Ovis aries: one gene and its partner. The protein of the gene in region 2 interacts with the protein of the main gene of each other region in a pairwise test. Links are inferred from orthologs where the notes say so. Each region holds a gene or a part of one and is shown on either strand. Other genes may lie near its edges.

Region 1 (7,922 bases), on a different chromosome or scaffold from region 2:
TGATTCTTCATTGTTAAGGTGGTTGGTTGGGATATGGGGATGCAGTCTTTGACTCTGAAATACCAAATTTCTCTTTTTGAGTTTCACTGACTTGAGAAAGTCAAAGCCTGACTTTCGCTTATTTACGGTTGATAGATATAAAAAAGGACTCTGTGAACTACAAACTCCTACACAAATATTTTTCACTGTTTATAGTAATAATCTTTTTGAGTTATTCAGCTTAGAGGCTTCACAGAAACATATAAAATGAGCTCCTTTGAAAGGAGGCCTTTGATTTATAATGATTTAGAAACAAAATATAAATTTTAAAATTGCCACTTTAGGTAGAGATATGCCCAAAATGTTAAAAATTATATATTAACTTGATAGAATTGCACTTTATTTTACATTGACTAAACAATATTTTATGGTTTCTAATATTTTGGGAAAAGATCCTCCTTTTTTGGTATCCAAAAGATATAATCACTCAAATAATGATTGTGAACTTCTGGAGAAGACAGGTAAATAAAAACCAACTTAAATAGAAATATCCCCCCAAAATGAGCTCAGATACCCCTAGGATTAGTCCAGAGACCTGACTGAGTTGTGTAGCAGGTGGGGTTTGATTCCAATTCCATTTTTCAAATATCAGTGATAGATCCTGCTCACAAGAGAGCTCCAAACCCTCCTTTTAGCTGATGCTCACTTCAGAGGACCCATTCAGACGGATCTCTTTCCCCTTCTAGGATGAGGGTTCTTAAAATTTATAGGTCTCTACAGGGAATTCATTAAATATTTATTAAGGTGAATGCATTTAAAACTCCTGCTTTGCTGCCTTGAAATCAGTGTGTTAAAGTCACTTCAGTCTTGTTTGACTCTTTGTGACCCTATGGACTATAGCCTGCCAGCTTCCTCTGTCCATGGGATTCTCCAGGCAAGAATACTGGGGTGGGTTGCCATGCCCTCCTCCAGAGGATCTTTTGGACCCAGGGATCTAACCTATGTCTCTTACATCTCCTGCATTGGCAGGCAGGTTCTTACCACTAGTGCCACCTGCTGCTGCTGCTAAGTTACTTCAGTCGTGTCCGACTCCGGGTGACCCCATAGATGGCAGCCCACCAGGCTCCGCCATCCCTGGGATTCTCCAGGCAAGAACACTGGAGTGCGTTGCCATTTCCTTCTCCAATGCACGAAAGTGAAAAGTGAAAGTGAAGTCGCTCAGTCGTGTCCAACTCTTCAAGACTCCATGGACTGCAGCCTACCAGGCTCCTCCGTCCATGGGATTCTCCAGGCAAGAGTACTGGAGTGGGTTGCCATTGTCTTCTCCAGCTAGTGCCACGTAGGAAGCCTTAAATTCAGTGTTCTCAATTCCATTAACTAAATATTTTGAATGATGAAAGGTTAAGGATAGAAGGACTGTAGAGATCATCTATGCCAGTGTTTAAGAGCACAGGCTTTGGAGGCCTGGTTGATATGTGGCCCCTTCTGTCCTTGGGCAAGTTACTTAACTCCCTGAAGCACATGTATAAAACAAGGATAATCCTTCCTTTCTCATTGAGGGGTATGAAAATTAAATGAATGACAAAGATCATTGTTGCTTAGAGTGTAACAGACTTGTATAGGTGGTAATTAGTTATAGTAGTTGTTACTGTTATATGTCACCATGATTGCCCTACAGTCATTCAATTAATCAGTGCAAGATTCAGATCCTTTGTGTCCCTTCATTCCTATATCTTTGGTACTATACCTGCTTCCTTTGGTGGTGGTCTTAAAAGTGAAATCATTACAAAAGGAAATCCTAAAGAAATGTGGTTTGCATTGACAGCATTCTCTTTAATAACACCGTCATTCTCATTAGCATAGTCATTGTCAATATCCCTCTTATATGATTATAGTTAAAAAGGGATATTACCATTAAATCCAAGAAATTCCTTATGAAGCCTTTTAAATGCATCTTACTTGAAGTCTTCGGGGTGGATGCCTTTTAATAATACTTGTTTCTTGCTGTTCCAGTGGGAAGTCAAAATACATGGCCCTTGGCCCTTGAAGGGTTGGAGAGAAACAAAAACAAACCATTAAAAGCAATTTCCTATGACATTAAATTGATTATTAGTTGTTAGACTTTGTTAACACCATTTTGTATCTTCAGTTCTGTATATCTAACCAATAGGTTGAATGTGAAGATGAAAGACGTAAAGCAGGGGCCCCACATAATGGCAAATGATAAAATATTAGCCTAGACTCAGGATTTAATTTCTGCTTTCCTCATTTCCTCCCTGATTAATATTTAGAGGAATAATTGCACAATTAACAATGTATTGACTAGAAATGTTATTCAGACATAGCATTTGGCTTGGAAAATAGAAACTTACTGATTTGTTTTAATTTTATGAAATCCTTCCCAAGTAAATAGAAATCAGAAAAAAACATAACTTTAAGAAGTGAAAATAAGTTCTCTTTTCAGGTAAAATAGATTAATAGATGGATAGGTATTAGAGAGGTGATGAAGAAATGGAACTTGAGTGTGTAATAGGAATATGGAATGCTTATCATTGAATGTTTCCAATTAAATAATCCATTCCCCCACTGCAAGTAGGGAAATGAATTCCCACAAGTTGCCACTCTAACACAACATATCAATATTCTTCTTGATGAAATAACCCAGGGCTACAGTGTTAAAGATCCAGAGAAGCTCATTAGGAAACAGAGAAGCTCAAGAGATCCATGTGGATTTCATTTTTCAGCTTGATTAGCCTGGGCCCTTGGGACCGCTACCATAACCAATGCTACGTGAATGACCTCCTTGTCCTTTCCTCATAACAATCTGGATGCATTCTGACTTTGAGATTGTTGTGCAGACTATCCCGTAGTCCCACTTTGCATTTTAAATGGAAAAATTCCTGGGTAATTGTGTGTTTCTATCCTTAAAACCTTTGAATGATCACCTGAAGAATATCTCTATGACCTTCCTTTCTTTCAAGAATTTCAGGATATCAAGCAAGACCCAAAACATGTTGGATTTAAAAATGTAAATATTTTCAGCAAAATATATTTCAGCAATGTGACTACACCTTATTTTTATGCCATGATTTGGGTAATATCACCCTATTATTTAATTTGCTTCTGCTGAAGTGGTATAGGCATGTGTGCTTTTACCTTTGATAAACAGGTGAAGAAAATTGATGAAACAGCTTGCCTAAAGTCATACTATTTGGTATTTGGTGAAGCTGGGGTTAGAATGTGGGTCTCTCGAAGAAGGTGTTCAGAATGCTTACCATCCCAGTGTTATTTATTTTTAATGTGATTTTGCAATTTCAAAAATAAGAACATTTCCCAGTTAGACTCTAGCACATTAGAATCAGCTTTTGCCCTTTGGTTATCAAAATCTTAAAACTCTAGATGGAAGGTTTAGATAAAAAATGAATTATTCAGTGAGACTAAGAGGAATAGTCCTACTAACATGCTTAGAAAGTTGAACAACAACAACAAGAAAAGGCTATATGGAACCAGTCAAAGGTTATCAGTTCTATAGAAAGTAGCCATGAAGATCATTCTAGATCTAGGTACCAGATCTAGATCTAAGACTTACTAGGCACTAAAAAGGAATGCATGTATATATATACACACACACATACACACAAAATATATATATTCTGGCCAATAATGGGAACTTACTTGTGATAATAGTACAGAATGTGAAGAAAAAAAATAATGTACATATGTGTGTATATATATCACGTATGTATATACGCATGTATCTCTTCCCTGATTAGAATGTCTAAGTATCATCTGTTTATGTATCATCATGATTGTCATAAAATATTTTATATCTTGTAAAATGCCACAGGAAAATTTATAGCCCCTTCTGGCTTGGATCTTCCAATCATAATGGGAAAAATTCTCTTAGTTCTGCAAATGATCATGAAGAATCAGGGGCTGGGGAGAGGGTGCCCCATCCACTCATCTGTACTGCAATAAATGAGTTCAGTTTGGAGTGGTTTCCAAATGCGCATCAGAATGGATTCATTTCTTTAGTACTGCTTTCAAAACAACAAAGCCTGATGCATGAAATGATACTGGAGAGATTGATTTACATTTAAAATCCAACTGAAATGCATGAGTATCATAATCATCACATTTTTATCTATGGAATTTGTTTTATTTATTGTGGTAAAAGTCACATAATATAAAACATTCTCTTTTAATCATATTTAACTGTATTTATACAAACCATATTTATGCAGCTCAGTACATTCACATTATTGTGCAACTCTCACCATCATCCATCTCCCAAATTTTTCACTTTCCTAAACTGAAAGTCTGTCCCCATTAAACACTAATTCCCCATTCCCACCTCTCCCCCTGGCCCCTAGCATCTACCAATGTACTTTCTGACTATAAATTTGACTATTCTCATAGTCATCTCATTTAAGTGGAATGAAACAGTATTTGTCACATCTAAGGTCTATTGGAAAAGAATTTTAATTGCCTGGCAAAGCTAGGTATAAATATCAAAAGGACTATAAACCAAGCTGACCCCAAATGATTATTTCCTTCTCGTGTGGAATGATGAAAAGCCCTTAGTTCCCAGTTCGCACACCTATTCTAACGTGCCCAGAATACTTAAAATAGACAAACATTATCTCCTGTTGACAAATGTCCCTTTATATTTCAACAATTAAGAAACTTCATGGATTATAGAGGTAGACAGATTAATCTATCAGTAGCTCTCCTTTGCCCACACCCACAAATTTCTTGCTGGGTTTTACATTTACCTTCAGAATATCTTCCATACCAGGTCTCTCGTAGAGGTGGCAACTGCCCTTCTAAAGCTTTATTCTGGTCCTGCAGTCTTGCAAATGAGTATAAACTGTTTTCTTCCAGATTCTGAGTGAATGCAAAATCCACAGGGCCACCCAAGGGAGTCTCTTCCTCTTTGTTTTGCAAAGGTACTACCTTGGTCACCCTTGGGTGAGACTTAGAGTGACTCAGGCCCATTTCACATTAAAGACACTCTGTAAAACCATGAGGTTAGTGGTTTGGGGCCTTTAAAGTGGCTTATTTTAATCAAGGAACTTCTGAAGTTAGCCCAGCTCCAAAGTATTTCTTCCCTTCATGACATCTGCGTAGCTTTATTTCACTTCACACTAACCCTTTGGCCACTTCCTGGGAGGTTGGTTTCTATGGAGACTTCCCTTCAACTCCTACTTGGCCATTTCAGACCCAAAGAATCCAGTTAAACATTGACTTGGTTATGCTACTTTCTGAAACACTCAGTGGTAGGAAGAGAAACAACTATTGATCATTAAACAGATCTCTAACACCAGGAAGGCTGTTAACAGAAATGGAGAGCAGAGGTTCAGAGAACTTCAATTTGACCCTTTCATTGTGCATACCTTTAGCCATCATCTGTAAGAATTACCAACTGAGAAGAGCTAAGTCACCTTTGGAAATGTTGGGAGCTAATCACCTAGGGGCTTTGTTAATCTTTAACTTTAATTGAAGAATTTATCTTCCAAATAGGAAACAGCAGAATAGCTAAAATGATTTTTCTGTCAATAATTTGAATTGCCCTTGAAGAAGATGAATACAGAAGGGTAGGGAGACAGTAGCACTTTAATCCTGGGAATGAGGGGACAAACTTCTTGAATAAATAGTTCAAGCAAAAGACAAAGATATACTATAAACAACAACAGTGATGACAAAAAAGCAAACTCAGCTATAGCCTATGTGTTTTGTTTAAAAAAAATTGAAAAAAAAAAAAAAGACTGAAGATAGATGTGCTGAAATGTTGAATAGTGATTTTTGAATAATGGGATTATGGGTGATTTTTTATTTTATTCTTTCTTTATATGTAGAAGCAGAACTCACTTTCAGTTTCTAATTGTCCATGACCACAGATTATTTATGTTTTCATCACATCCCTACAGGGATACAGAGAAGTTCAAAGGTATGTATTTTTTTTTACTTTTGTGAAATTCATTTGCTAAGGGGCTAACGTAGGTTTGGAAATTCTCATACGCCAATAGAGTTCATCAAAAAAGAAATCTGAGTTTAATTTTCTCTCTTTGTGTTTTATACACAATCTTCTCTGTGGCAGAAAGACTTGTACATGAGCATCATATATTAATAGTATCTGCAAACAATACTTTTGGTAACAAGAAGCTAATTATAAAGGTTAAAATAGTTGAACAGTATCTAGTCAGGTTTATTTTTGGACACAATTAGTTTAAGTATTTCTAAAAGCAAGGAAAAGTATTGCAAGCTAACAAATGAACTAGAAATTATACTGGAAATTGTGGACTTCATGGATCTGGACCAGTGAGAACCATTCAGTTCTCATTTTTTTGATTTACTATTGTTTACTTTTGAGATATCTGTAGAGAATGTGAGCCTTTGTAGAGGAAGTTGGTTAGCTGCTCAGGAAATAGTGAAAGAAATGAAGATTCCTGCCATGTTTATTTCCATTTATCATTAACTACTTCCAAGCTTTGTAACTCATGCAGATTACTTAACCATTCCACGCCTGAGTTTTCTCATCTGTAAAATGGAGTTAATAGAACTGCATCATGAAGAATGAGTTAATTTATAGCTCTTAGAATAGTACCTGACATACAGCAGATTTGAAGTAAACATTAGCCTGTATCTTTATCACTCATTGGTCAGAAACCATTAAAGTAGACTTAGTCCCGTCTAAAGGAGTTTATAAATCCTTGGACAGAAGAACATGGGGAGCTACAATCCATGGGGTCCCAAAGAGTCGGACACAATTGAGTGTGCACGCACCCATTTAACTGAGGAAACAAGCATGCTTAATATCTATTTTAAAAGTTATCATATGTTTTTTCTTAGAATGATAGTGAAAATAGTTTCAATTTCATTAAAAGAGGAAAAGGAGAATTTGACCTCACCTATAGAGTTATATATAGGATATGATTTCTTAAAAACGAGATTTGGAAAACAAAAAACTCTCATTCACAAAACCTTGGCCGCTCCTCAGACTATCAGCTATACTTTATATATAATGACCCTTCCTCAGTTCAAGACTGGTTATGAATAGCCAGTGATAGTGTGTAAAGATGATAAAATAGTGTACATTATATGTAGTACTAAAATTTTATGAATATGAAATGAGAATCCAAGTTTAAAAATTTATAGGATAAAGCAGAGAAGGGGTTAAATTTTAGAAATCTGAAGATAATGCCCAGAGAAAACTTTATTAAGACAGAGGGCACAGAGAAGAGAAAAGATGGTGAGGTGCTGGAGGAGATGGAGAGGAGTAGGGATCAAGAGCTAGGTGTACCATTTCCACACATGAGGGATGGAAGCTGCAACTTGGAGCAGCTCCATAGACAGCCTGACCATGCAGCCCCCAGGAAGCTTCCTTGCAGAGGCTCCCAGTGCTGGGATCTCTGAACACAGGGCGTGGTGTGAGCCATGCACTTGTTAGCCCTGCTTCTCACCTGTGCTTCAGCCTTTAGATCCAGAGGCAGGAAGGAAAGGAAAGCAAATGCTGCAGAGCTGTTTTTTGCAGCCAGAAATCCCTGCTTTTGTTCTTGGTTTGCTCTCAAGTTGGGCAAAACTGTTAAGGAATCTTGTTGAGTGGATTTAAATTCTATAGAAACTAGGTGGATTTTCCTCTTGTCTGCTGCTGCTGCTAAGTCGCTTCAGTCGTGTCTGACTCTGTGCAGCCCCATAGACAGCAGCCCACCAGGCTCCCCTGTCCCTGGGATTCTCCAGGCAAGAATACTGGAGTGGGTTGCCATTTCCTTCTCCAATGCATGAAAGTGAAAAGTGAAAGTGAAGTCGCTCAGTCGTGTCCGACTCTTAGCAACTCCATCGACTGCAGCCTACTAGGCTCCTCCGTCCATGGATTTTCCAGGCAAGAGTACTGGAGTGGGGTGCCATTGCCTTCTCCGTTCCTCTTGTCTAATAAGAGACAG
Region 2 (7,887 bases):
CCACTTGCTGCCAAGTCAACACACGTCTTCTGATTAGTACACAAGGGAGCGGCCATCCGAGCACACAGGAGCCTCACCAGCCAATGAGCGCTCGCCCCTTCTCAAACCCTAACCAACCCCAACACCTTCAGACCCCAGAGTTTCTCTGGGGTTCAGTTTCACCTCCAAAGTTGCTCTAAGTTCTTGATATCCCTGAAGAAAGAGCCATGGAGTTCCCAGTGTCAGCATTCTTCACTTAACCACTTGTTCCAAGGGAACTGCAGGAATCTGGGCTGAAATGAGACTCTCCTGCCAGCTCCCCTCCTACAAGCCAGTGGGAACCATCAGCGAAGACACACAACCTCCCCTCTACTCCTGGTTTATGTAGTGGTGTGGACTGGACTCCAGCTGCCATGCGAGGCCCTCAGCCGTACCTGATCCCAAACCAACACACCACCCAAGGCCCAAGAGGAACACAACCTCACGTCACCAAAGAGGAGGGTTCCAGGGCAGGTCTGAGAAATCACCGCAACAGAATTAGAGGGGTGGGTGCTATTGTGGGGAAGCTCTGGCCATGAGCCTGCCGACAGCACCAGGCCCCCCTCATAAGCCCCAGCACAGTTCCAGAAGCCAAACTAAAGTGTGGTCAAAGGGCGTGTCTTTGTGGAGGGATGGATGGATGGATGTTTGGATGGGTAGATGGACAGGTGCATGAGTGGGCAACAGGTGGGTAAGTGGATGGATGGGTGGGTAGGTGATGGGTGGGTAGTTGGATGGATAAATGAGTGGATGGATGGGTGGGTGGGTGATAGGTGGGAAGCTAGATGGATGAATGGGTAGGTGGGTGAATAGATGGGTGGGTGGGTGGTTAGGTAGGCAGGTAAATGGGGTGGGTGGGTGGATGGACAAATAAGTGGGTGGAAGGGGTACGAGGGTTGGTGGGAAGGGGTCAAGATGGTAAGATCTGAGAAATCTTAATTCAGATATGAAGTAGAAATACTTCAGAGAAAAGGAAAACTCTCCACCCATGTCAACAACCCCCTCTCAAACATTCCTGCGGTGGACATTACAGTCTTCCATTTATCCATAAAACTGCTAATAGGAGTACGTCAGCCATTCATCTCAGCCCTTCCCAGCCTGCACTTGTTTCCTGCAGGATATTTTCCAGGCCTGAGTTTGCTCCCTGTTTAGAATTCATATTAAAGGCAGAGCCTAAGGAGTTTGCAGGAAGGTCTCCTATGGAGCTGATGCTATCTGTTGCTATTAACTTTATTAATGAGGCAGCTTTTGGTAGTTTATTTTTTTCTCCCTTTCCCCTCTGCAGCCATCTCTCTGAGATGTAGAAGAGCTTTAACCCACTTTCTTTCCTTACCCGCCTCCGTCTCAGCTTTTCTCTGCCTCTGGCTCACACCGAGATCCAAAAAAGTCCCTGTGTGTGTGTGCTCACAAGGCAGAGCTGTTTCTCCAGGTAACCACCGGATTCCTGATAATACCACTCAGCCCTGCTATTAGCAATCTGCATTTTCTCGGCAGCTCAGCTACAATATTGGCCAGATTTTTTTTTTTTTTTTGTCTTTTCATAAGACTTCAGATGTTGAAATAAGAAAAAGCATTTTTGAAAGTTAACATTTGAACATTAATTAGGAAACGGGAGATTCAGGGTTTGTAGAGCCTTACATTTATATGACGTATGGGAGGTGAGAGGCAGAGAGTGTCTTCCTTATTAAAAAAAAAAAAAATCCACAATTACAAATGCAAACTTCTGTGGCCAGGAGAGCACGCTGCCAGTGTCCCTCCCGGGGGCTTGGATGGAGCCAGAGTAAGGGCCCCTGAAGCTTAACATTCATTAGCTTCCCCGTCAAGGCGCCTCTGCTGGGAGACACAAAAGGCTAGAGAGGTTAATACGGCAGCATTAAAATCTCCAGAAAACCGCTAAGCAGAACTGTCGTCTCTTACATCGGTCCTCTGGACGCTGTTCTTATCTCTCTTTCACAAACCTCCATCCCTGCTGTTCCCTCTAATTTGGCAGCAGCGATTCATTATGAAAGCGCCTGTGCTGGGCTGGGCTTGTACATCCTTTCCCTGTTTGGGCTTCTCCCATCCAGCACTGTGTCAATTATGTAATAGCCAAAACAGGGAGTTTCACAGAATACGAAAAGCATAGTCGCAGCTCTTACATAAGCCTTCACAAACCACCCATAAGATCCACCCCTAGACTGCAATATTGGGAAATTACATAAGGTAGAAAGAAAACACTGATTCAGCAGCCAAGTTTATTTCCAAACTTAAAGACAATAAAAGCTTTTTTGCACTTTTTTGGCTAGTCTGTATTCACTTAATGAGTGTTGAATGTGATAGAAAGAATGATCTTTCAATAAATCTTGACCGTCTTTCCATGTAAACAGAAAGGAGTATCTTGACACCACGACTCAACGTCACTGTCACTTCTGCACAGAGAGATGTCCCACTTCCCAACTTAGTCAACAGGGGACCATGTATCCCGATAAACATCAACTACTGGGGGACTTCCCTGGTGGCTCAGTGGTAAAGAACCCAGCTGCCAACGCAGGAGACGCAGGTTGGATCCCTGAGTTGGGAAGATCCCCTGGAGGAGGAAATGGCAACCCACTCCAGTATTCTTGCTTGGGAAATCCCATGGACAGAGGAGTCTGGCGGGCTGCAGTCCATGCAGTTGCACAGAGTCAGACATGATTTAGCAACTAAACAACAATATCAACTACTCCTTGTGGATTTTTTAAAAATCAAGAAGATATTTTGACAAAATACAGACGTGAACATGCTATAATTCTTCAACATATCTCCCTTCCTATACCATTTTTCTCTCCCCATATTTCTAACCACTTGTTTTTTACTTTCTTTAAACCACTGTAGCCACACCTTGGGCTACAAAGTGACAAATTAGAAGAAACAGTGCTATCCTATGGGTCTCACCTCAGCTACAGATTGGAATCACTAGGGAGTTTTTAACATTCCAAATATCACAGCATCACCAAAACCCAATTAGAACAGAACACTGAGGTGCCGGTCACAAAAGGAAGTGCCCAGACATCAGTATACTTGATATTCCTACTTCTGTCTTCTTCCCTGAAAAAAAAAAATATCCATAAACACAAGTAGAGATATTAAAGGTTATCTAAATCTTTAATAACTGGCAGCTCATAATTACTGAGTTTCCATCAGCTATAAAAAATAAAATAAGTCACTAGTTTAAAAGCCACAAAGAATATCTGTGGGATCTTTTTTATTACTATCAATACGTGGTTCAAGAATTTTCACCAAGTCTCTCAAGAGCCTTTACAAAACTGTTCTATTTTTTTAACGTTTTACAATTTTACCTAATGAGTTCAAAGAAAGGGCCCTATGTTATCTTTAAGGCTATCTCCAGCTAAGACCATGTTCATCTTCCAGGAAAGTTTAGGTTTAAAGCAGAAATTGTGGCTCTGACTTCTCTTCACCCTCTCTTCAGAGATGCTCTGGTAATTCCTTTTATAACTTTACCAATGAGCAAATATTTTTTTAAAAAGCACTTATATAACAGAGAGTACAGGCGCCTTTGGTACCCTGCCAAGAGTACTTCTTTCCGTGTTTGTATTTAAAATAGAATGGTAGTAACATCACTTGTGCGCCTGAAATTCCTTCTGTGCACAGGCTCAGAATGAAAAAAAAAGAGAAAAAAAATGGATGTAGCAAACCGCTTCGCTGCTTTACCATTACACAGCTCAAAGGAAATAACACATTCATACTAAATTAAGACGAAGAGGCAGAACAAATTATCCAAAGCTGGGGGTGTTGTTGGGGTGGGGGTGGGGGATAGAGAGGTAGGGATTCGGTTGAACCAACCTACCAGCCCTTCGAAAACAGAGGATGTTTAACCTGACAGCATGCGAAGGTGCCGGAGGAGCTGCAAAAAAAACCTCAGCCGGAGCAGGTGATGCAGGCAAGAAAGAACAAGCGCTCGGATGGCAGAAAAGCCCAAATCAACCCCGCGCCGCCCAGCGCCCCCGCGGCGGGCGCTCCCCGGCTCCGCGCAGGGTCCGAGAGCGCCGGCCCCGGGGCCCCGCCAGACCCGGCCGGACGGGACAGAGGAGATTCCGCTCACCTGGGTGGGAAATAGCCTCGGGAGGTGCCCAGGAAGCCACGCTGCCCTGATGGAGAGGCTCATTGCGGACTGGCTTCCCGCACGCCTCCTCCGCCTCCAGCTCGAGTTTTCCTCTTTGGCGACAGGTCTAGACCCGGCCAAGCGGCCGCGCAGGTCCGCAGACGTGGGTGGGGGGGCCACAAACTTGCGGGGAGAAGCCGGCGGCGGCGGCGGCGCGGGCGGAGGAGGCAGGGGCGCCCCCCGCGCGCGGTCCCCGCCGCCGCCCGCCCACGCCCGCTCGCGCCCCGCGCTCACCCCGCGCCGGCACCGCCCAGGCTCGGAGCGCGGGGAAGGCGGGGTAGCGCGGACCCGGAGGCTGAAGCCCCCCAACGGATGCAGCGGCCGCCCCTCCGGCCGCCTTGCCGGGACAAAGAGAAGCGGCGGAGCGGGATGGGAGGGGGGTGCGGCGAAGCGCGGGCCTCGGAGCGCGCCGCGCAACCCGCGCGCCTGGCCGGAGAGGTGCGGGCGGCGGGGACCGCGCGGGCGGGCGGGCGGAGAGGCGCGCTCCCCGTCCGGGCCTCCCCGAGATGCACACGCCGGGACCCGCGCCCCGCAGCCCCGCAGCCCCGCCGGGGAGGCCGCAGCGCCCTCTGCCGGCCCCGGGGCCGCCGTGCGCGCGGCGTCCTGCTCCGGCTCCGCGCCGCCACGGCCCCCCGACGTCCCGGCGCCCCCGGGGGCAGGGGGCTTCGAGGAGGGGGGGGGGGGGGGTCTGCTCTTCTCCCCTGGGAACAGCTTCCAGTATGAGCTGCAGCAGGAATTGGGACCCAGCACGAGAAACGTGGAGGGCACTGGGACTCCTGATGCAGGAGGGGCCCCAAGTTGACCTCTGGAAAGGTTTGCGAAAAATGCAAGCGTTTCTTTCGAGAATCGGGTTTATCTGTGTCTAATAAACACCAAAGGCGGCTAACACTGGTCGAGGGGGTGCCAGAGAGCCTCTCGGGAATAAATATGTTGATTTATTTCTCAAATAAGTGCTCCCGGCTTCCCTAAGCAGTTCGTGCGGCAGGCTTCAAGAGGTGAGCCAGGTCAGAGAACTTCCGCTGCCTCGGGTTCAAATGTCAGTGGGATAAGCCTTTGCCTTTATAAAAATGAAATGTGGGTGCTTGTCCCCGCCCTAATTAGAAGTGTTTTCTTGGTGGCTCAGTTGGTAAAGAGTCTGCCTGCAATGGGGGAGACCTGGGTTCGATCCCTGGGTCAAGAAGATCCCCTGGAGAACGGAATGGCCACCCACTTAACTATTCTTGCCTAGAGAATTCCAGGGATCTAGGAGCCTGGCAGGCTACAGTCCATGGGATAACAAAGAATTGTACAGGACTGAGCGACTAACACTTTGACTTTCAACTTTTTAGGGGTCTTTGTCCTAACTACCACATTAAGCAGTATTTTACACCAGTTAATATTTGAAGCACCGCCAAACGGTACAGTACTTTTTTCCACACCGTCTTTTAAAATTATTCTAACAGATCTCCTGTCTCCTCGGGAAGAATCTAGGGCAGACTTCATAGCTTTTCCTGTCACTCTCAGCTGTTAATAAACAGTCTGATTCTCTGGTATTAAAAAGTCCAGTACAATCCAAGTCAAAACTGTGGTCTCACTGCACCTGAGCCTGCCTGCCTCCTGCCTCTCCTGCCAGCCCCTAGCTCCCAGTGGGCCCAAAGCTCACAACCTGCCTGGGGAAGGGAAAGGCCGTTTTCTTCTTTGTTCTACCCCTTCCCCTGGCTTCGTGCAGACTGGCTGCTCCAGGATGGCTTGGTGGGGAGCCTGTCCTGGTCCTGGCTTCCAGGTGAGCTTCTCACTGATCCTGCAACTCTGCAGGCATCACGTGTCCAAGCAGGTGGGCCCAGCCGCCTTCCACCCTGTCCATCCAGGTCACGGCCACAGCCGCACACCCTCCTCATTTCCTGGTCACAGGCAGCTTTGACTAGCCTGGCTCTTTGAAGCTTACCATGTAGGAGTCAGGACTTTCTGAGTTCATACATGTCCCCAAACCCCAGCTGATCCCTGCCAACCTTCCCAGGTAGTTCTCCAGACCCCTTTCTTTGCATGAAGTGACTGGTCTGCGCCCTCTCCCTCAGAGCACCCTATAATTCTTGCTGCCAACCTTCTCTCTAATCACTCTCTCCTCTACCTAAATCTCAGTTGAACACAGCAGAACCCTTACTCAGCAAAACCTACAAAGCTATCCCAAGGCCTTTCTTTTAAATGTGGAGACACCTCTCTCTGTGGTGGCCATAGACATGTGCTTCTCACATTTTGAGAGTAACTGATGATGTCACATCTTCAGGTCCGTGGTGGTACTCACCCCTGGGTCACGCCTCACCCTGGCAGTTCCTCCATGCTGGGAGCGCTGGGGTTGGGCCGTTTCTGCCTCATGCAGGACCCATCTACGGGGCAGCCTTAGTTCAGGAACCCCTCTTCATCCTGCCAAGGCTTTCTCAGAACTGCCCCCTGTCTGTAAGTTTGCAACATCTGGTTATTTATATTCAGTCTGACAACCACCATCTTTTCATTTGTAAATATGCTTCATTTAATTACTAAATAACTAGTTTTTAATTATAACCATTATTTTTATAAAGAAAACTGAGTGCCAAAGAATTGATGCTTTTGAACTGTGGTGTTGGAGAAGACTCTTGAGAGTCCCTTGGACTGCAAGGAGATCCAACCAGTCCTTCCTAAAGGAAATCAGTCCTGAATATTCATTGGAAGGACTGATGCTAAAGCTGAAACTCCAATACTTTGGCCACCTGATGCAAAGAACCGACTCATTGGAAAAGACCCTGATGCTGGGAAGGAGAGGAGGCAGGAGGAGAAGGGGGCAACAGAATGAGATGGTTGGATGACATCACCAGCTCAATGGACATGAGTTTGAGTAAACTCTGGGAGTTGGTGATGGATAGGGAGGCCTGGCGTGCTGCAGTCCATGGGGTCGCAAAGAGTCAGACATGACTTAGCAACTGAACTGAACTGAACTGAACCTCTGCTATTTAACTGTGAACTTTCTACTGGTCTTTTTTTTTTTTCAGTATCTTTTCTGCTTCCCTTCGATTGATTAAGGGAAGTTTTCCATTGTTTTATATTTCCTGTTATAAGAATTATACATTCTATTTTTTTCTTCCAGTAATTATTCTTAAGCTTATAATATGAATAGGTAACTGGAAATTCTAAATTTTTATATATCTGTGCTTCTCTTGAACAGTAAAGGGCTTTTGAACTCTTCAATTATCATTTCTCCATCTTACATGACATCATGCAACATTTTAGTTGAATTTTTTCCTCTGAAAATTAGAAGTGTTATTATTATTTTACAGTCAGTTTTTGCTTATTCTTCATTCTTGACTCTCACATCTTCTGGGATCAGTTTCCTTTTTTCTGGAATACATCTGGAATGTATTTCCTTTTTCTGTGTGAATGCCTTTTGCTGATAAATACTTTTGCAGTTTGGCTCCCTAAAGAAGAAAAAGTATAGTCTCTCATTTGTGTCTGACTCTTTGCAGCCCCATGGACTGTAGCCCGCCAGGCTCCTCTGTCAGTAGAATTCTCTAGGCAATACTGGAGTGGATTGCCATTCCCTTCTCCAAGGGATCTTCCAGACCCAGGAAACAAACCTGGGTCTCCTGCATTCTTTACCGTCTGAGCCACAGGGAAGCCCTAAAGATGTCTTTATTTCATTTCCACCTTCACATGATAGTTAACCTGCATCCACAATTCTAGGTTAACAGTCACTTTTTCTTTGGGTTTCCATTGCTCCT

The links.
Region 1: the proteins of MTUS2 (region 2) and CCDC198 interact in binary tests that used the Homo sapiens proteins (3 or more experiments, as listed by UniProt). The two-hybrid records come from large-scale screens. The link is inferred for Ovis aries from reciprocal best matches to the Homo sapiens genes MTUS2 and CCDC198.

Annotation. Positions count from the first base shown.
Region 1 is NC_056060.1:67,896,137-67,904,058, forward strand, and holds the start of CCDC198 (uncharacterized protein CCDC198), read right to left. Parts: upstream 5,119-7,922; 5' UTR 4,978-5,118; coding exon 4,755-4,977; intron 2,022-4,754; coding exon 1,939-2,021; exon of another isoform or gene 1,934-1,938; coding exon of another isoform or gene 1,892-1,933; intron 1-1,891. UniProt on the Homo sapiens protein: May be involved in tuning the metabolism, energy expenditure, and excretion processes.
Region 2 is NC_056063.1:31,672,809-31,680,695, forward strand, and holds the start of MTUS2 (microtubule-associated tumor suppressor candidate 2), read right to left. Parts: upstream 4,257-7,887; 5' UTR 4,100-4,256; intron 3,085-4,099; exon of another isoform or gene 2,932-3,084; intron 1-2,931. UniProt on the Homo sapiens protein: Binds microtubules. Together with MAPRE1 may target the microtubule depolymerase KIF2C to the plus-end of microtubules. May regulate the dynamics of microtubules at their growing distal tip.